5 separate regions of the Mus musculus genome follow, and regions 2, 3, 4 and 5 are each reported to be linked to region 1. Evidence: microRNA targets listed by miRTarBase, many of them from high-throughput screens and not tested one by one. Region 1 holds a microRNA gene; each other region holds the end of a gene's coding sequence. Distances are between the middles of the regions.

Region 1 (4,066 bases):
CTCCGCATCGAGCCCTTTTCCAGCCCTCCAGAGCTTCCAGATGTGATGAAGCCACAGGATTCTGGAGGCAGTGCCAATGAACAAGCTGTGCAGTGAGGGCCTAGGCCTACCCCCTAGAGACCCATTTCCCCAATAAAAAAAATTTGGCTGTCTACCTGATTGACTTTTCTGTTCCCTCTTGTTCACAGAACTCTTAACCCCAAGTAAAGACTACAGACCAATTACTGCATTTCTCATTTTTATTTGACAGAAAAAGTTGCTTTTACTGTACAGATTTTAAAAAACCAAAATGCCTTAAACAAAGTTGGGGGGGAGAGGGCCTCACAACCTTGTAAGGGGGTGCAGCAGGGCCAACCAACTTCAGCTCCTTCCTCTTTCAGGAAAGATTACAACTTACCAAGTTAAACCATCAGTCACCCAAGAATTTAGGGAGCTAACTCCCTGGATCATCACAATCTGAGGCCTAGATGTCCTGAGCTGTGCCCCTCCCTCCCTAGACTCCCTCCCTCCCACTCCAACCCCCAAAACACAAGAACCAGGAAAAACTCACAGAGATCAACATTTCACAGGAACCAAAAAAAAAAAAAAAAAAAAAAAGGGTGGGTGGGAGAGGACGCTCTCCCCTCAAGATGCTGCCAAGGTTCAAGGGAAGGCATACAAAGACTCCTTCCATGATTCTTCTGGGAAAAATGAGGAATACTCATGTCTCCAGAGTATGAGGTGTAGTGGAATCCAGATTATGGAGACCTGGAATAGAGAAGACTGGTCATTCTGGGTCACCACACATATCCCTATCCCTAACTACTAGCTCTCAGAAGGGCCAGACTTCCAAGGAGACACACCTGGAGGAGCGGTGACGATTAGAACGGGGACTAGGTGTCTCCTTCCTCTTGTGACCAGGAGAGTGACTGTCCCCTCGCTGGCCTCTCCAGGAAACTCGCTCACTGCTACAAGAGGAGAAATTAGGTCACAGAACAATACCAAAAACTTTTAAATTTTGCTTACAAATTAATGGTAGCTAGTTGAGTCAGGTTGCTAGCACCTGCTATAGGCCCTACCTCTGTAGATCCCTTGGTGAAGGTTGGGGCGAGGGCTGTCGACGCTCAACGGGTGAGTAACTGAGGGATCGGGAATCCCGAAGGGAGTCTATTGGCTTCCGAGGACTTCGAGACCTAGGAAGCAGAGTAGGCCTCTATAGCTCCACATCCTCCCAAACCCACCAGCCAAGCATTCAGGACCACCCACCCAGGTCCTGACCACCAAACCTCACACCACACAGGGCCAGCCTCAGACCCACCTTTGTCCGCACTCACCCATCCGCCCGCACACCATCCACCGAGTACCCCAGTGGACAGGGCACAGGGTGCAGCGGGGGATGCAAAGATAAAAGAGTCCCTGCCCTTGGAAGAATTTTGTTTGGTAGTAAAGGTTAACAATGAAGGCACACACGCCCCCTACATAGGAAACAGCCCAGCAGGATGGATATGCATGGGCCTGGGGATCCAGAGAAAGGATGGGGACCTGGGCAGGACAGGGAAATGGCAGGGCAGTCTTCTCGGAGGTGCTGTTTGAATGCAGTCTTGCAGAACGAGTTCACCAGGCAGACAAGGAAATCCCAGGCAGAAGGAACAGCATGTCCAAAGGCATGGGGCTCTCCTTAGACTGCAAGGCGCTGGGTATGGCCGGAGCACGGGGCATGTGTGGGGGCGGGCAGGAGGAGCACAGGGCGGGCAAGGGCAGCTGGTGAAGAGCCTCACACGCCATTCCCGCAGAGGTGGCACTTTATCCTGCAGGCCACAGGGCGTTCCGGAAGGATTTGTGGAGTGAAGGGAAGTAACCAGATGTGCGTTTTAGAAAGATCCCTCTGGCTACGTGTGGAAGAGAATGGCGTGGAGGCAGGGAGACAGGGAGGAGGCTGTGGACAGAGTCGGGAGAAGATGACGGTGGCCAGACCAGAGCCCTGCAGCAGCAATGGGGAGACTTAGAGCTAGATCTCTGAGACCAGGCTGCTTGTCAGGGGAGGGGAGAGGGAGGAAGAATCCTATGACTTCCCAGATATGGCCTGGGACACCTCAGTTAGATAGTGCAGCCCTTGACCAGAATACAACACTGTGGGAGGATGGGAGGAGTCCGGCACTCCTTCTCCCGTACAACCAGTCACAGACGTCCACACGAGGCACCCCAGCAGGAACCTCACCCAGGGTCCCCTTTCTGGAGAACTCACCCCAACCCCCCTTCCACAACAGGCAAGAAAGCACTCACCTCCTCTCGCCAGGGGGTGGCTTCTTGGGGCTTGCAGGTTTGGGTAATGCCTGAGGGCCAGGCTTAGCAGGGGAGGGGGAGGAGGAAGAGGAGGAAGAAGAGGAGGAAGAAGAGGAAGAAGAGGAGGAGGAAGATGAGGAGGAGGAGGAAGAGGAAGAAGAGGAAGAGGAGGAGGAGGAGGAGCTGGAACTGGAGCTGCTAGAGCGCCTCTTCCTTTTGGCCGGGGTTGGTTCCTGAGGACGTCCCTCTCTAATAGCCTCCTTTGGGACTGGGGTGGGGCTGGGAACCCTGTGAGAGAAGAAAGGTGTCACAAGGAGACAAGATGCCCCAACCCCAACCCTACCTTCCTTGGCCTGGAGGAACGGCAGTGGGGGAGGGGTGCCTGAGAAAAGCCCTGGGAAAACACGAAGGCAGGCCAGTGAGTAGTACTTCTCTGGAGCAGTGGCACAGAGCTGACCAAACCTCTGCTAACACAAGCAACAGGCTGGGGCCCGAAGCACAAGGGATCAAGGTTAAACCTCAAGAATGTCCCTGATGAAGGATTAAGGCCCCTGGACTCAGATGTGGAAGCTGAAGCTGGGTGATCTCCTTCCTTGGAGAGCCGCAGCTTGGGGAGGCCCCTGTGAGTGCAGGTTGGCTGGGGAGGGGCCGTCCTGCCTGGAGGCAGGGAGAGGGATGGGATGACCTCTGAAGATCCTTCCAGCCCAGGGAGTTCCTCTTGAGGTCTAACTGCCATCCCTCCTGCTGTAAAATTAAGTCCATTTCCTCTAGTTCTGTCCTCTGTAGAGATGGAAAACTTATCATTATCCTCTGGAGAATTAACCTTTGGAGACTTTTATCTGTCCCATTCCTCCCCACAAAGCCCCCGCCCAACATTCTTTCTACTCCCAGCTTGAAGGCCAAGGTCCCCCATACTTTCTCAAAGCCAAGTGCTTTTGACAAGATTTCTCCCTCCCTACTCACCCACCCATTGTTAAGTCCCTGCTCCCTAGATCCCTTAATTGCCTCACCTTTTCAGTGCCACCTCAGGTTGAGCTGGAAGGCTGGAACCCTCTGAATCACTAGAACTGGAGCCAGAGGAAGAGGAGGATGACGATGAAGATGATGAAGAGGAGGAGGAGCTAGATGATGATGAAGAGGAGGAAGAGCTCCGACGTTCCTTAGCTGGTTGCAGAGCAGCCAATGTAGAAGGCTGCTGGGCCCCAGTAGAGGCAGGTGGCTCCCCACCTTCAGCATGGGATATCCCAGGGGCAGGGCCAGAAAGCATGCCATTGTGGTCACTAGCAGAGGATGTGGACTTCGCTACTGTCCCGGATGAAAGGGACTGAGACCCTGCTACAGGAGTGGTCTGGACAACTGAACGAGATTGGTCTGAAAAAGCAGATGGCACAGGGGACCGAGGCCGATCCTGTGCAGGAGGGAGAAGAGATTGCGAAGAAGCCTGAACCATTCTTGAAGCAGGGGAAGGAGCCCGCTCACGCTCAGAGGTCATTCTAGACTGGCTTGGGGCAGATGGTGGTGTTCTGGACCTGGCTCGATCAAGCATTAAAGGTGAGGTTCTGCCACTAACACGATCATAAGCAGAAAGGGGCACCCTGGGACTGGTGAGGTTTGCACCAGACAATGCTGGAGCCATCCTGGAACTGGAGAGATTTGTGGGAGCCAAGCCTGCAGGGGTTCTAGAGCCAGCAATATTCACAGGAGCTGTGCCATGCGCAGATCGAGGACCCACCACCAGGTTTGCGGGGGTTGGAGCCTGGGGTGTTCTGGAACTGGAGGGGTAATTTGCAGCAGTTGGAGGTGT
Region 2 (4,066 bases), 23 Mb from region 1:
TACTCAAGCCCATGCTGGGATTTTCGGTTGACTGCTTAGGTGGCTCACCTCAGACTTTGTACAGCTCAGGGCCCTCCAGCCTCAGTGTCTAGAGTTGCAGGCATTAGCTGCTCTGTAGGCATTAGCTGCTCTGCTTTTCGGCCATCTTCTCAGTTGGGTCGCCCAATAGTCTACTCCCTGCTTGTGGGAGGTGGGTGTGGGAGGGTCCTGTAGCTCTCTGCTCAGTCAGTTCTTAGTGTCCCTGTTATGCCTATGTAGATTTCCAAATCTGAAGTCTGTCCGGGAGCTCATCTTGAAACGTGGCCAAGCAAAGATTAACAATAAGACAGTCCCTCTGACGGACAACACGGTGATCGAGGAGCACCTGGGTGAGTGCTGTGGCCTGGGCTTGGTGGCTGCGATCCAGGGTGTATTCTTGGACCTGACAGTCCCAGCCTTTTGGGTTTTTCCCCCCTTTATACTGGCTAGGTGGTGAACACAGAAATCTACACCCTCTTGTTTTTCAGGGAGATTTGGTGTCATTTGCCTGGAAGACCTCATCCATGAAATTGCCTTCCCTGGGAAGCATTTCCAGGAGGTCTCTTCATTTCTGTGCCCTTTCCTCCTCTCTGTGGCCCGCCATGCTACCAGGAACAGAGTGGGCTTCCGCAAAGAGATGGGCTCCCCGGGCTACCGGGGAGATCGGATCAATCAGCTCATTCGGCAGCTCAACTAGAGCAGGAGCAGGTGAGGCGAGTGTGTGCTGCCTGCTGCACAGCGCTTGTGTCGCCAGACACCAGCCTCGGCTCGGAGAGGGCCTGAGAAGGGGTGACTGGGAGCGGGGAAACAAACAGCTCAAAGTCAGGTGCTGGGTCCAAGCTGGCAGCCTGTGCCCTGCTCCAGACACTTGGCCAGCCTCCTCTCTGTTCTGCTTGAGACTGGATAGCTCGTCTCTTGCAGATTATAGGCACAGCTTTTTATTTTACAAATCAATCCAGATAGTTACTCCAGGTTCCTATGAATCAGCCTCCCTTGACCACAGCTCCTTAATTCTTAGGAGACTGCAAATGGACCTTTTCTTTTAACTTTGCAAAAGAATTCAGATATCTGCCTGCCTCTGTTATCACAGACAGGGAGCTAGTTTGTGGGACCGGGTCCTGAAATTACCACTTGTATCACACCTGGGTCTAACCTTGCTCTGTCCCAAGTCACCCTGGACTCAGGAATCTGTCTGCCTTTGTAAGCATAAACAGCAACAAAAATAACAACTTAGTGGTCACCACTCCCTAAATCTCTTTATCTCCTTCCTTAGTATCTTTCTGACAAACAAGCTGGCTCGCAGCGCAGCTGCTTTTGTTCCTTTAGATTTGTTAAGCCCCTCATGTATGTAAGTACACTGTAGCTGTCTTCACACACACCACAAGAGGGTGGCAGATCTCATTATGGGTAGTTGTGAGCCACATATGGTTGCTGGGATTTGAACTCAAGACCTCTGGAAGAGCAGTCAGTGCTCTTAACCGCTGAGCCATCTCACCAGCCAGAAATTATATATTTTTGAACCCGTTTTATTTTTTTGTTTTTTGTTTTGTTTATTTGTTTTCCGAGACAGGATTTCTCTGTATAGCCCTGGCTGTCCTGGAACTCACTCTGTAGACCAGGCTGGCCTTGAACTCAGAAATCCGCCTGCCTCTGCCTCCCAAGTGCTGGGATTAAAGGCGTGTGCCACCACGCCCGGTGGTTTTTTTTTTTTTTTAAATTTATTTATTTATTTTATTTATTTACTTATTTTGGTTTTTTGAGACAGTTTCTCTGTATAGCCCTGGCTGTCCTAGAACTCACTTTGTAGACCAGACTGGGCTCGAACTCAGAAGTTCACCTGCCCCTGCCTTCCGAGTGCTGGGATTAAAGGCATGAGCCACCAAGCCCAGCAGTTTTTTTATTTTTATTTATATGAGTACACTGTCGCTGTCTTCAGACACACCAGAAGAGGGCATCAGACCCCATTACAGATGGTTATGAGCCACTGTGTGGTTGCCGGGAATTGAACTCGGGACCTCTGGAAGAACAGTCAATGCTCTTAACCACTGAGCCATCTCTTACTTAAGTACACTATAGCTGTCTTCAGATGTGCCAGAAGAGGATGTCAAATCTCATTATGGGATTACGGGTGGTTATGACCCACCATGTGGTTGCTGGATTTGAACTCAGGACCTTCGGAAAAGCAGTCAGTGCTCTTATCCACTGAGCCATCTCGCCAGCCCTGAACCCATGTTTTTAAGAGTCCTTTTTCACAAACTTAAGTGCTGTCATGAATGTCCCAGCATTTCCCTTTTTGTTGAGACCTCAGCCATCCATACCTTCACCCCTGATGCATGCTGACTGGTTATCACTAGCATTAACGCTAACTGGGATAACATTCCTGAGGAATGTAAGTCATTATACAAACATTATTATACAAAGAGGCCTTATGCCCATAGCAGCCGTCAACACTCATGGAGGCTCACACCTGCTGGCCCTATACAGGTGCCGAGAGCCATGTCATTCTGTCCCCTGCTGAGGCCATGCCAAACCCAGCACTGGGGTAGGTCAGAGGACACTTCTCTCCTCTATTGGTTCTGAGAATCTTTACTGGGTAGTCTTTGTGGCCAGCAGTCTTACTCACTGAGCCATCTTGTTGGCACCTTGTCTGACTTTTGGTGGGCCATGCTTGTCAACTAGAAGTCCCTCTGTACGCTGGAGAGCTAGTTAGCAGTTGACCCTGGCACTTGAAGAATGAGAGTTGTTCTGTGTGAAAACAGGAACAAGCCTGTGTGTTGACCTGTTGGAAAGGGACAATGCCTGATACAGCTCTGTTAGGTCACGGGCTAGAAAATGTCTATGTTGCTGTGGACTTTTAGCCTGCAGTGGAGGAGGAATCACATCAGAAACTGATTTCAGAAGGACTATGCAGGCCGGTTGGTTACCTGTTCTGCTGAAGGATCGCGACTGGAACACTCTGTCGCTGTTCTCTCAGACCCAAGTTGAGATTGGTTTGTTGACACAGCTGTGTTTTCCCTCCTTAGGTTTTCCAAAAGCACCCCTCGGAAGTGTTTTTGTCGTCGTTTAAAATTATCAAGTATCTTCAGAGAAGATTATTTTCTGCCTTCAGAAACTGAAGGAAGGCTTGGGCCTAGAGAACGACAGTAAGGTGCGAGCACCGGAGACACTTAACACAGCTCAGTCCATGGAAGGACGAGTTCCCTCATTGGCTGCCTGTCTCGAAATCCACGCAAGCTGTGGAGGAAAGAATTACCCTGCTCATCCTGCCTTCTATCTTGGTGTTTAATGTTGGGTGGGCAACAAGCACAAACCTCCCTCCCACCCCCTCCAAGACTGTTAGAGCAGTGGGCCAGACCAAGCGGCGCACTTGAACATGGATCAAGAGGGTCCCGGTTTTACTTTTTATTTTTGTCAGGGTAGGCAGTCTTGTGTTTGCTTTGTTCAAAGCAGGGTCTCCCTGTTGGCCCTGGCTGGCCTTATACTCCACAGCAGTCCTGCCTCCTCCTCCTAGGTGCTGGGATTAAAGGCGTGCGCCACCACGCCCGGCTACAGCCTGCATTTTTATGCACATTGGTCTGTTAAGCTAGTTGCATTCTGTGCTACCGGAGGGGACTGAAGTTTAATCACTTGTCTTCTATTAAAAACTAGTGTTTGCCTGGGCCTGGTGTGTATACCTTTAGTTGCAGCGCTTGGGAGGCAGAGGCAGGCAGACTTCATGAGTTCAGGGACAGGCAAGCCTGCTCTACAGATTTCCAGGATACCCAGGGCTACACATAGAGAAAATGTTAAAGATAAACAAAAAGCTGGACAGTGGGGGAGCACACCTTTAATCCCAGCACTCGGGAGGCAGAGGCAGGCGGATTTCTGAGTTCGAGGCCAGCCTGGTCTACAGAGTGAGTTCCAGGACAGCCAGGACTACACAGAGAAACCCTGTCTCAGAAAAAAAACAAAACAAAAACCAATGCAGTGATAGATTGTTGTTTCCTAAACCACATGTACCCAGGAAATGCCCACTAAATTTCACCTGGATCAGTGTTAACTGATCATT
Region 3 (4,066 bases), not on the chromosome of region 1:
CAGAGCTGCAGATGCTTCCAGTGTTGCAGGTGTTACCTTCTTTCCACTTCAGCTCTCCTGCATACTTAAGTGGGAAAAGGGGCCATCTGTGCCACTGCTGCTTCCTCACTGGCAGGGACAGTGAGCACTCCACTTCTGCACCTGAAAGTGAGACTGCTATTACCTATACCCTGCTGGCTTGTTAGGACATCCTCCGGAAAGCCAGCCAAGCATGGCTCCCCAATAGTCCTTTCCACTTTAACTCTTCCAGGTACCTTTTGGTCCTGCTGTAGCCACTGGCATGCCCCAGCTAAAAGCCTCCAGCTGTACACTGCTAGTGACCGCACCACATGTCCAGCAACCCCACCCCCTGCATTCACTCTTGGTGTAGAGATGCATGACCTCAGCAGTGTGCCACAAAGCTCTTCTCACCAGTCCTCCTGAGGAATGAAACCCTGCCCTTAGGAAGTCCCTCCTCATTGCAGATCTGAGTATGGTCACATGGTTCCACGAACAACCAAGAAGCCACCAAGGCCAATGTCAGCCTTGTTCTCTTAGTTCTGAGTCCACCTTACACACAATGTGCACAAAGACCAGAAAAATACACTGGAGGATGAGCAGGGCTCATCTCTGAGAAAGGAGTGTGTATATGGCGTTATATGTACGTGTGTATTCCTGTATATATGGGGATGTGTGTTCATGTATGTGCAGGCACGTGTAGAGGACAGAGGACAACTCAGAGTATTCTTCAGGTACCCTTCATTTTTCTCACTGGCCCAGGGCTCGCCAAGTAGCTTAGGCTGCTTGTATAGCAAGCCTCAAGTGATCTGCCCATCTCTGCTGCCTCTCCAGTGCTCAGATTTTAAGTGTGCACCACCATGCCTGCCATTTTTATGTGGGTTCTGGTGACTGAACTCAGGTACTGCATGCACTTCAACTGAGCCATCTCTCCAGCCCAAATTTTTAAAAATACTTTATCATACCTGCTAAAATTCCTATAAATTTAATAACTTTTATATTCTGTAAGTTTTGAAAAATAAAGCACTTTAATCTGTTAATTTGAGAAGAGTATTCAATATTAATTATTCCATAACCACAATGTGGGAACTGCCTCAATCAGGTGTGTGTACATTATAAGGTCAACTAATCAGAAAGCCTGAAAGTCCAATAACATGCTGAAGGAAGGTCTTACCTCTCCATACTTTGAGGGACAGAACTCAGGACTTCTGGCTTCTACTGGATAGGGTATGCTACCCGAAGCCCAGGGCGCTGTCAGCACCCACACTGTCCTGTGCCCCCAGCTAGCCTTACTCTCCAGGGCTCTGCTTTGTTGCTTCCCAGCCAGCTACCTCTGTGGACTGTATCCCCAATGCCTCTTCAGAGAAACTCCCTTGTGAAAGCCACAGATTTCAGAGCCTTTAGTTCTGGTGTGTCTGCACTGTTACATACTTGTTTATAAGACTTGCATCCTGGGAGTGATTCAGAGCTTAGCACAGACCAACTTTATTTCACCAGATAAACTAGCTTGTTAGACAAAGAGTCTGCTTTTTTGAGAAACTGAACCCATTTATTCATTTTCCTTTACCCCAAATTGCTTGTATGAAATAATTATGCTCACGGTTTTGTAAGTGACCTGAATGTAACTGTGGTCCTTTTATATTGCATGGTTGCATCTTCTTTTTCTTTCTTTCTTTTTTTTTTAGGGAAGTAGAGATATCAATTTAAACTTACAAAGACTCATACCACAACCACCTCTCTCAATGAGCCCATCTAAGTACGGTGCTTCCAGCTCAGAAAACCCATTGCAAATACTAAACGTTTTATTGTAGACAAAATGATACACAATTATTACACATTATGATTTAAAAAAACACTTGAAAGTTTAACATACACAGAAACTGTTAAATCATTTGATTTTTTTTTTTTTAGCAAAAAAGTAATTTCTTTAGGTTTTTTATCACAACAAATGAATCTGCTCTCATTGGGATACTCTACCTTGTAAGTCTCTGTCCACTTCTGAACAAATCTGTGCCAGCATATCAATCTGCTGTATGGTCTTAGACCAAATTCTTGTTTTTATTTTTTTTTTGTTTTTTTGAGACAGGGTTCCTCTGTGTAGCCCTGGCTGTCCTGGAACTCACTTTGTAGACCAGGCTGCCCTTGAACTCAAAAATCCGCCTGCCTCTGCCTCCCGAGTGCTGGGATTAAAGGCATGCGCCACCACGCCTGGCATAGACCAAATTCTTAAGCCTTATATACCCAATTATAGCAGTAAGCTGTGCTTGCCCAGTCCCTGCACGGTAGATCCCTTGGTACCTGCAGCTCTCAGGTACGGAAGGAAAGGTCTATTTCCCTGCAGTGTTTCCTGACTCACACATCGACCTGCAGGACCTGACACAACAGGCTTTATGTTGCTTACTTAGCTGGGTTTCTTTGACTTTTACTCAGATATTTCAAGTTTCCTTTGAGCAGACAAAGAGCAGGTTTACAACTGAGGCTGAGGTCTTTCCTGTGTCCCCATAATAGTCAGGAGGACTGGGGAGTCCCCAGTGTGTGCACACTGTGTAGTGATGCTAGAGGCTCGTGTGTGCAGCTCTCACTGAGGGCTCTGCTTCTGAACATTAGCACAGTGGGTTAGAGCAGTTCTTCCCATGTAAGGCACTCACAGGTGTTTCAACCCTTTTCATCTTGGTAAAACTCTTTGGCAGAGAAGGACAGGACTCCGGTCCACCAAGAGGACAATCCTATAAAGTCTGCACTGAGGCTGCCTCCCTCCCCTTGACCTGAGGCAGTGGCAGGGGCTTCTGAATCCCAGATGGAGGAGGACCACACATGGCTCAAGTGCCTGACTTTGAGGTTGATACCCACACTGACACTTGTAGTCCCTGGGTTACACGACACAGGCCTCTGCTGGGACCCCTCAACACGGCCGTGACACAGGCTGTCACTGCACTAGCGTCATGGTTCCGTGGAAGAGTCTCACTGCAGCCTCCTTGGCCTCCCACATGGCGTATTACCTTCTCTGTAGCTGACTCACACCAGCCAAGAGTGCAGCCCTTCTACGCTGAGGCAAGGCGGGAGAAGGTACTCGTTGCTGGTCTTCTTCAGAGTTCCCCAGCCCAGCATGGCGGGCTTATCTTTGCCTTCTGAAAAGCAGGCCCCAGGTGAACCCACGCACAGCCCACAGAGGGACCGAGCACCCCGTGCATGTGCCTTGTCTCACACCAAGACCCCGCAGAGCCTTGTGGGAGTAAAGAAATGCAAACTGACGAAGCCGTGTCCATTCAGCTTCCCTCCAGAATTGGGAAACAACTCTGTCCTAAAAGGGGGGCACCTGGAACTCGATGCCCTTGTGTAATACGCAGTTAGATGGAAGGAATGGTCTGGCAACCGTGGCGTTCCAACACAGAAAACACCAGCTTTCCTCAAACACGAGGGTCACAGTCTGCACACTGCAGACACAGCCTCTCCCGCTTTTCAGGGATCTCTTCGCTGTATTCACTGATCCTCATTCAGTCTCCCCATGTGTTTGTTTGTAAGAAAATCCAGAAAAGGAATGTTGCAAATGGCCTGATGAATATTACTCACTGTAATTTCTTTGGGAATCCTAGTCCAAAAAACAAAAAAACAAAAACAAAAAACAAAACCCAAAAGTGTAATTAGGTATAATTTGTCAAACGAATTCAGGAATAATTTCAGTGAATTAATAGACTGAAGGGACCATTCTCTTATAGAAGGAGGTGATGGCAAAGGCTTGAGGCCGGTCTCTCTCTCACTTATGAATTCTTCTCCATCTAGAGTCCTATCCAGGACTCAATCTTACTTTCTGGACACAGTAAGTTTGCCGGCCAAATGATTAGCTGACAGAAAAGAAAGAGGATATAGACAGAGGAGAATGGTGTGCGTCTAAGTCTAAGCAGATTGAAGTTTGTCTCAAAGCACCATAATGATACAGACCCATTTCTTATCTCAGGGGATGGGAGAGTCCTGGCTAGCCAAGCGTGGCGATACACGCTCTCATCCGAACCACCCAGTTTGCTACATCTCCAGTCAGGAACACAGAAAGCATGGCTCCTCCTGCTTTTCA
Region 4 (4,066 bases), not on the chromosome of region 1:
CCAAAAACAAAAAACAAAACAAAAAAACAAAAAACAAAATAAAATAAAACAAAACAAAACCTTAACTGGCATGCCTACTGGGCTCTTTCCCTAGGACCAAGCTCTGATCTGAAGGGAAAAGAGTCACCTTGGGTCTTACTGGTCCTGTTTCTGCCTTTAGCTGGGCCCCTCAGCTTAGGAGGTGTATGCAGGACCTGATGGCCTGCTGCCATAGCACTCTTCTCACATGGTCTGTAGACCCCTTTGGAGACAGAACAGCCTTCTTCCCTGGGTCTCCATGAGGGTGGGTGTATACCCATATTCTATGGATGGTAATCATGTACTGGAGATGATGGACTTTGAGCCCAATGATTAGGTCAAACAGGGAGCCCCAGGGAGCATCCATGTCTGCCTCCAGAGCGCTGGGACTGCCAGTGTGCACCTCCACATGCATGCGTGTTAAGGGATTGAATTCAGGCCCTGTGTTTGCAGGCCAAGCACATTACCAGCTGCAATGTCCTTCCATCTCTGGGCCCCATTTTCTCATGGCTTGCCCTTTCCTGGTCACAGGCACTCTTTTGGCTGTCCAGTTTGTTCATGCTGTGATCAACCGAATCATCCCTACCTCCAATGGCTTCATGGCCCCCACAAGCCACGGCTATCTCATCCGTGAGCGCTTCCAGTGCCCGTCAGTCAGAGCCTCCCAGCAAGACCCTCTCAAGAACTTCAAGAAGGCAGTGTGGCTGGTAAAGACCAGGCAGAGGGAAGAGCTGGCTGCAGCAGAAGCCTCCCAGGATGCAGAACCAGTGGCCGTAGAGGGAAAGGAATCAAAGTCAAATAAACGCTCACAGGTCTGCCTCATACTCTGAAAGCCTACCAAGGCAGGGGCTTCAGTGACTTAGCCATGGCTCACCTGGTTGAAGCCAACTGACTCTCTCTGCTGGTGCCATGTGGACCCCCCCTTCCCCTCAACCATCTTCCATTTTTCCTCATAGCTTTTTCTGTGGGTTCTGAAGGCCTACTTCCTTCAAGTGAGCAGCAGCCTGCATCTCCCACCTTACTCTAAGAACTTGGCTCAAAGGCTTGGCTCTGCCTCTTAGTTGTACTGGTGCAATTCTTATCCCTGAGCCAGTTACTAGCTGTGAGAGGATCTGAAATCATTGTAGGGACCAAGAGTGACCTTGTCAAAGTGTTGTGTGATGGAGAGTGAAAGACTGCTGGGATGTGATGGGTGCTGTCCTGTCTTCATAGCAGTGAGCCTCCAGTAATAGCCCATAATCCATACTGCAAAGCCACACAGAGCATAGTTAAACACACAGCATAGTTAGTCTGTCTGCAGCTCCTGCTGTGAGACTCAAAATGGTGTGTAAAAAAAATCCTCCTAGGATCTGGTGGTGGCATAGCTTTCAATCCCAGCACTCAGGAGGCAGAGGCAGGAGGATTCCTGTGAGTTTGAGGCCAGCCTTAGGTTACATAGTAAGTTTCAGGACAGCCAGAGCTATGTAGAGAGAAAAGACTGGTGCTGGCTCAGGGCTTAAATCACCTTGCATCCCAGAATACAAGAACATTGTACACACTGTCACCAACCTGTAAGCCTAGCCTCAGGGAACAGGCTATTTTTGTTTCTTCCACTGCTGTGACTGAAAAACTCGACCAAAAGCAACTTAGAGGAGGAAATGGTTCATCTGGCTTTCACCCCCAGGCCACACACCCAGTTCTTTACTTAGGGAAGTCAGGGAACGAACTCAAGCAGGAACTGAAGGCAAGCCTGCTGGCTATTGCACACAGCATGACCTCTGACTAGGGGACTCAGCCGCGGTCATACAGCAGTGTCTCCGTCATTATCAATTAGTGATGGTCAAGAGACACCATGACCATGGCAAAGCAGTTAATGGGGTTGGGAGAACTGTTTATAGTTTCAAAGGCTTAGTCCACTGTCATCACGACAGGGAGCCTGGTGGCACACATGGCAGGCATGGTGCTGCAGGAATAGCTGAAAGATATATCATGAGAATCCTTTTAAACAGTTCCCTCTCCGGTGGCCAGACACTCAAATATATATGCCTCTGGGAGCCATTCTCACTCAAGACACAAGCCTGAACCACAGAGGATGTAGTTTCTGCCGTTCTCCTGATTAGCTAAGCTTTTTCATAAGCCCCAGAACCACTTACCACTCACAGTGGGCTCCCTCCTCCATCAGCTAGCAGTCAAGACAATGCCCCATGGACAGGCCCACACACCAGTCTGACCTGGGCAACCCTTCAATTAAGACTTGCTTCTCAGGTGACTCTAGGCTATGTGAAGTTGACAGTTAAAGCTAATAAGGTCATAGAGGATCCTGAGCATTCTGGCTAGCTAGCTAGACACATCTGTGAGCTCTGGGTTTGATTAAGAGACCCTGCCACAATGAATAAGGTAGAAGAGAAGTCAATGATTATTCCTGACTCAACCTCATGCCTTCAGATACACATCACATGTACCCACATGGGTGCTCAGGCACACATGAACACTCATGATGCCCACACCAGCCTCCATGTGTAGCCAAAAGTGCTGGCACAGTCTTATCCTCCTGCCTCCATTTCCTGCTTGGACAACTATAACCACTGTGCCCAGCTAAGATGCTGTCTCACTCAGTTCCCTGACACATCAGGACATGCTAGCATCTACCTGCTTTGCTGCCAGACCTTCTGCCTTGAAATGGCTTTCTCCACAGTGCTCACAGCCATCTAGTGAGCCGGTCTTGTGCCTGGAGCCTTGCTACAGCCAGACCTTAGAGGTGAGAGGCCCCCTTCACGCCATGGGACACTAGACAGACTCAGTGAAAGCAGCAGTAGAAACAGCTTGTTTTTCTGTGTTGGATACAGAACCAGGACTTGAAGGCAAGTGCTATATCTCAAGCCATACCCTGAGCCCTTACTGGGGGAATCCAGGAAGGGGCTTTACTGCTCAGTCACATTCCAGCTTCAAAATGAGGCCTTTGAAGATACCTTGTTCAGTTACTTCCCAAATAAGGATTCCAATGCATGCTTTAGCAATTCTGAAAATGTTAGTGTCAAATTTTATTTTTTTAAAAAAATTACTGGTTATGGCAAACAGAGGTTGTGTGCACCTTTAATCATAGCACTTGAGAGGCAGTGGCAGTGGCAGTGGCAGTGGCAGTGGCAGTGGCAGAAGCAGAGGCAGGCAGATTTCTGAGATCAAGGCCAGCCTGGTCTACAAAGTGAGTTCAGGACAGCCAGGGCTATACAGAGAATTCCTGTCTCCAACAGCAGCAGCAGCAGCAGCAACAACAACAAAGGTCTGGAGAGATGGCTCAGCAGTTTGATCCATCTTAGCCCCCACATCAGATGGCACACAAAAGGCCTTTTGGCCTTTGGAGATACCTGCCCAAACATACACACACACACACACACACACACACACAGAATTAAGATCAATATTTTTAAAAATTATGGGCCAATGAGCTGACTCAGTTGGTAACAGCACTTGCTACTCAGTCCCGATGGGCTGAGTTCAATCCCTGGCACTCAGAGAGTGGAAGTAGAGAGCCGACTTCAGAGTTGCTCTCTGACTCCACACATTCACTAAGGTAAGCACCATGGTGATGACACCCCCACCATGCACTCATATGCATACCAATAGTAGTAATAATATAATAACAATAAAATTAAAGATCTATTTTAAGCTGTAATTTAAAAATATATGCACATGTATTGAACAATAATTTGTTTGAGATTTTTAAAAATAATACTTTTTTACTAACATGTACTAATTGTAATATATTAATGAAGACCCACAAGATATTTTCAGCATGCAAGTAGCTGCAAACTTGGTCTTTGTTTTAAATCTACCTTCTGTCTCTGTCCAAAGCTGGTCCTCACAATTCCATATCCTTTTAAGTCAGGGTATGAGAGGGAATGAGGTTCGTCACTGTGCAGCCAACTTACTCATTGAACATGATGTCCTTCAGTTCTGTCTGTTTTGCTACAAATGATAGTCTCTCATGTTCTTCTCTATGGCTGTGAACTGTCCTATCACTGAGTGTACCACAGTCCTTTGTCCACCCACTTTGGTGTTGGTGACTGCT
Region 5 (4,066 bases), not on the chromosome of region 1:
ATGTCATCACAACACCCCTTTTACAGATGAGGCACAGATGGCTAAGCCACTTCATCCGTCAGGGCTCCAACCTGAGCATGCTGGCTCCAAAGCCCTTACCCCTTGCAACTGTCTATACTGCCTCTTAGTGTATTGACTAGTAGCCAATTTTAGTTTGGGTTTTTCTCCAATAATAAAGCCCAAGACAAGGGTTTGTGTGCAAGTGACGCACTGTCCCAGCAGATGCAATGGATGTGGCGTTGAAGGAGATAGTTTCCACCATGGGCACCTGGAGTCCAGCCCTGCTTGGAGCTCTAGCAAGCAGCACGCAGAGTGTATGGAGGGTTATCTCTTCTGAGGGCTGGGAGCTGCCTGTGATGATATTTCTTAGTGCTGGCCTAATGCTGCTCAAGGGGCATATTAATCTCTAAAACTTCACACCTGCCGCAGAGTGGTAAATCAGGCACCAGGAGTGGGATCCCTCAGGCGGGGGTGGGGGGGTGGGGGTGGGGACACCGGAGTGGCGACTGGAGAAGCCAGGTATGAAGAGAAGAGAGGATGGCAGGGCTCCCCATCATCTAGACTAGACCTGCCTGGCAATGGCCGTCTCCTGACGGGCTCCAGCGCTGGTTCATCTTCCAGTTCCAGCAGAGAAAGCAGCTCTTCCAAACGATCTGCTCTGAACTCGCAGGGAACGGCCGTGGCTGAGAGCACTGGGGAGTCAGAGAGAGCCTCTGCTGCCCTGCAGCTCTGTGACTGGTCAGTGACCTGGGACAACTGCCATTCACCACCCCCTCAGCAAGCTGGCGGGGCTCCTAGAACAGTACCCACAGCTTGGGAAACTTATAAGACATACCTTGGACCAGCTCCAGACCCCCTGGGTCAGAATTTGCATTGTATTCATTCATTCATTCATCCACTCATTCATTCATGTGTTCATGAGATAGGGTCTCAGTCGTCCAGGCTTCCAACTTGCTTTGTAGCAGAAAATGACGTTGAGCTCCCTTCCTCTTGCCCCCACCTCCCAGGTGCTGTGAATATGGGCGTTTGTCTCCATGCCAGCCCAGAATCCGCACAGTGATGAGCACTCCAGCGACTCGAGTAGACTTCTACTGGTCATTTCAGTCACATAAAAAGACAGGAGGAGAGGGCACGGTGGAAGGAATGCACTGCACCAAACCAAGTGCCTCAAATCGGTAGCCTCCGGACCAGGCTTTTCTGAGAGCTGTTTTGTTCCTTCAGATGAATGGTTTTTAAAAATTCTGCCTGGCACACAATTCTCCAGTCCACTGTGCCCCATTCCCCCCCGTGCCATAGCACCCCAAGCACTTTCCATTTATGCCACCAAGAGCTCCTGTGAGCATCTGGGTTGGTGTCAAATGTCAGATGCTATAATCAACGACTGCAAAGCACGGCTAAGGTTTTCTAGGTTTAATGCGGGGCACTGAAGGAAACACGGGCTTCAAAGTCAGGCAGGCTGTTCAAATCATCCTGAGACCACATACCTGGAAAACATGGATCAGCGTGCATCCTTGCAAGGTTACTAGGGATTAAAGACAATCATATGCAAAGCAGTCAGGAGGAAGGAGAAACTCGCTATGCTGAAGTCACTGGTATAGTGGCTCTCAGGTGCTGCCAAGTGTCCAGGGTGGGCATCGGGTTAGCAGGGCTGGAGGTGCTGAGAGTTGGAGAGCCTTCCCCGGGGATGCATCACAGAGTGGGGGCAGGGCTCAGACTGTGTCTTTAGTTCCAGATTTTCAGTGTCCTCCGGAACCTTCTGTGAGGATAACCGTGTGACCTGGTGCACGCAGAACACACTGGCAGTGTTGAGGACATACTTCAAGAAAGGCTGTTACCAATCTTTTATATTAACATATGTAGCAATGGCACAGTTTGGGAAATATTGAGTTAAAATATACACGATTAAAGGTCTGAGGCTGGAGAAATGGCTTAGTGGTGAAAGGCACTTAGTTCACCAGGCAGTCCACGTCTTTAATCCCAACACTGGGAGGCAGAGGCAGTCTGAGTTCGAGGCCAGCCTGGTCTACAGAGTTAATTCCAGGACAGCCAGGGCTACACAGAGAGACCCTGTCTGGGGAAAAAAAAAAAAAAAAAACCTCAAACAATCATACAACAACAACAACAACAACAACAACAACAACAAACTTAAGTGCTCTTGCAGACGACCAAGACCAAGCTTCATTTCCCACATAGTGGCTCACAACACCCATACCCTCAGTTCCAAGGAACTCAGCGCCCTCTGCTGACTTCTGCTGGTACCACACACACGCATGGTACACAGATGTACATGCAGGCAAAATATATGATTAAGATTAATTTTACATGTTCTTTAATGTTTTATTATATTTTCATTTATTTATTGTATATGTGCGTGTGTGTGTGTGTGTGTGTGTGTGTGTGCACGTGTGCATGCACACATGCCAAGGCACACATGTGGGGGCAGAGGACAACTTGCAGGAGCTGGTTCTCTTCTTCCACCATGTCACCATGTAGAACACAGGGATCAAACTCAGGTCGCCAGGCTTGGCTGCAACCATCTTGACTCACTGAGCCATCTCCTTGGACGCCCACCCCCGCCTTTTTTTGAGACAGAGGTTGTTTGTTTGTTTGTTTTTTAATGTATCGCAGCCTGGCCTGGAGCTCACAACCCTACTGCCACAGCCTTTTTTTTTTTTTTTTTTGGTTTTCCGAGACAGGGTTTCTCTGTGTAGCCCTGGCTGTCCTGGAACTCACTCTGTAGACCAGGTTGGCCTCGAACTCAGAAATCTGCCTGCCTCTGCCTCCCGAGTGCTGGGATTAAAGGCGTGCGCCACCACTGCCCGGCCACAGCCTTCTTAATGCATCTCAAAAAATGTGGACACTTGAAGTTTTATTCTCAGTGCTGGTGATAGGATCCTGCGTCTCATACAAGCTTGACACGTGCTGTGCACGTGACTCATCTAGTGCTCCTATTTGACAGTAGGGCTCCAGAACTTCTCAGCAGAATAATTTAGACAAAGAATTTAGTTTTTTTTTCCCCTTTCAAAGTGTTTGTAACCTATTGCCCACTAGCAAGGAGCCCTCTGATATACAGTAGAGGGGAAGGGCCATCATATCCACCAGGAAGACACTCTCCTCGGAGGGTCCTCCCCTGAAGTGAATGACCTGAAGCTGAGAGGGGGTGAGTTTGCCCTGGCCTTACAGAAGTCGGAAGAGCATCTGGAATCAAGCCACAGACTCCTTAATGGGACCCAGCCACTTGCTACAGTACTCAAAAGTACTGGTAAGTGGAAAACTCAGTACTTTTACTTCAGCAAATGGGAGCCTGGGTTAATACAAGTTGGAGTGTGAGGATTATGACTTTGAGAAGGCAGGCTCCTCCACGAGGGTATGCCAACAGAACCATACCCTGAGCAGCTGCCTGGAAGGTGGGCTGCTGCCTGGAAGCTGTCTGGGCGGAGGAGTTCCTGAAGCACCTTGGACTGTGTTACTTGGAGGGGTGGCTCTTGTTGAAGATGAGGAAGTCTGAGAGGTCGTGCCACACGTTGCTGTCCTCGTAGAGGTAGGTCATGGAGGACTGTAGGGAGGGCTGCAGAGTGGGCCGGTGGTACTCAAAAAGCCACAGCACGAGCCCCCAAATCACCGCAGTGTGCAAGGGGAACGGGTCCCACTTGAGCGCAGGGATATAGCCCTTCTCCACACCCAGGCGGCACAAGGCGTACAGGACGCGTGAGGTCAGGTACATGTTGATCTGCAGGGAGGGAAATGCTCAGGGTTACTCGTCAGCACAGCCTCTGGGGACCTTCACCTGCCCACCCGACCACAAGCACTGGACATCCACCGCGCACTGGCTCTGTGACTTTCAAAGTTAACATGCAAGATGATTGATGTGGCATGGCTCAGACATCTTAATATTTCCCTTTCTTTCTTTTTTCTTTTCTTTTCTTTTCTTTTCTTTTTTCTTTTTTGGTTTTTCAAGACAGGATTTCTCTGTGTAGCCCTGGCTGTCCTGGAACTCACTCTGTAGACCAGGCTGGCCTTGGAGATCTTATAGATCCTCCTGCCTTTGCCTCTCAAGTACTGAGAT

The links. The annotated mature microRNA mmu-miR-5125 reads UCUGCCUGGGAUUUCCUUGU and lies in region 1 at 1,605-1,624, opposite strand. An mRNA with a match to its seed (bases 2 to 7 or 8) in the 3' UTR can be bound and repressed. Matches are read on the target gene's strand: a 7mer-m8 pairs with bases 2 to 8, a 7mer-A1 pairs with bases 2 to 7 and ends in A, and an 8mer does both.
Region 2: the mRNA of Rpl7l1 is a reported target of mmu-miR-5125. Seed matches in the 3' UTR shown: 7mer-A1 at 3,713-3,719, 8mer at 3,722-3,729 and 7mer-A1 at 3,863-3,869.
Region 3: the mRNA of Yeats2 is a reported target of mmu-miR-5125. Seed matches in the 3' UTR shown: 7mer-A1 at 2,163-2,169.
Region 4: miRTarBase lists Nwd1 as a target of mmu-miR-5125. Seed matches in the 3' UTR shown: 7mer-A1 at 1,404-1,410 and 8mer at 3,160-3,167.
Region 5: miRTarBase lists Pxmp4 as a target of mmu-miR-5125. Seed matches in the 3' UTR shown: 7mer-m8 at 3,416-3,422, 7mer-m8 at 3,397-3,403, 7mer-A1 at 2,776-2,782 and 8mer at 2,766-2,773.

What each region holds. Positions count from the first base shown.
Region 1 is chr17:23,820,897-23,824,962 of GRCm38, reverse strand. Mir5125 (microRNA 5125) reads right to left here and starts at 1,672; the gene lies at 1,594-1,672. It overlaps Srrm2 (serine/arginine repetitive matrix 2), which reads right to left. Exons shown (of 15, transcript NM_001368687.1): 11 at 3,273-4,066; 12 at 2,263-2,550; 13 at 1,059-1,172; 14 at 843-947; 15 at 222-747. The coding sequence ends at 738. Elob (elongin B) reads left to right here. Exons shown (of 4, transcript NM_026305.2): 4 at 1-223. The coding sequence ends at 96.
Region 2 is chr17:46,774,712-46,778,777 of GRCm38, reverse strand. It overlaps Rpl7l1 (ribosomal protein L7-like 1), which reads left to right. Exons shown (of 7, transcript NM_025433.3): 5 at 259-368; 6 at 507-726; 7 at 3,042-4,066. The coding sequence ends at 715. Among named protein-coding and RNA genes, the nearest start is that of 2310039H08Rik, 4.1 kb to the right of the region's middle.
Region 3 is chr16:20,230,285-20,234,350 of GRCm38, reverse strand. Yeats2 (YEATS domain containing 2) reads right to left here. Exons shown (of 31, transcript NM_001145930.1): 31 at 1,778-3,586. The coding sequence ends at 3,478. Map6d1 (MAP6 domain containing 1) reads left to right here. Exons shown (of 3, transcript NM_198599.2): 3 at 1-1,042. Among named protein-coding and RNA genes, the nearest start is that of Gm41431, 4.3 kb to the left of the region's middle.
Region 4 is chr8:72,711,044-72,715,109 of GRCm38, forward strand. Nwd1 (NACHT and WD repeat domain containing 1) reads left to right here. Exons shown (of 19, transcript NM_176940.5): 19 at 550-3,703. The coding sequence ends at 848. Among named protein-coding and RNA genes, the nearest start is that of Sin3b, 10 kb to the right of the region's middle.
Region 5 is chr2:154,584,363-154,588,428 of GRCm38, forward strand. Pxmp4 (peroxisomal membrane protein 4) reads right to left here. Exons shown (of 4, transcript NM_021534.3): 4 at 2,682-3,730. The coding sequence ends at 3,467. Among named protein-coding and RNA genes, the nearest start is that of Gm39963, 2.8 kb to the left of the region's middle.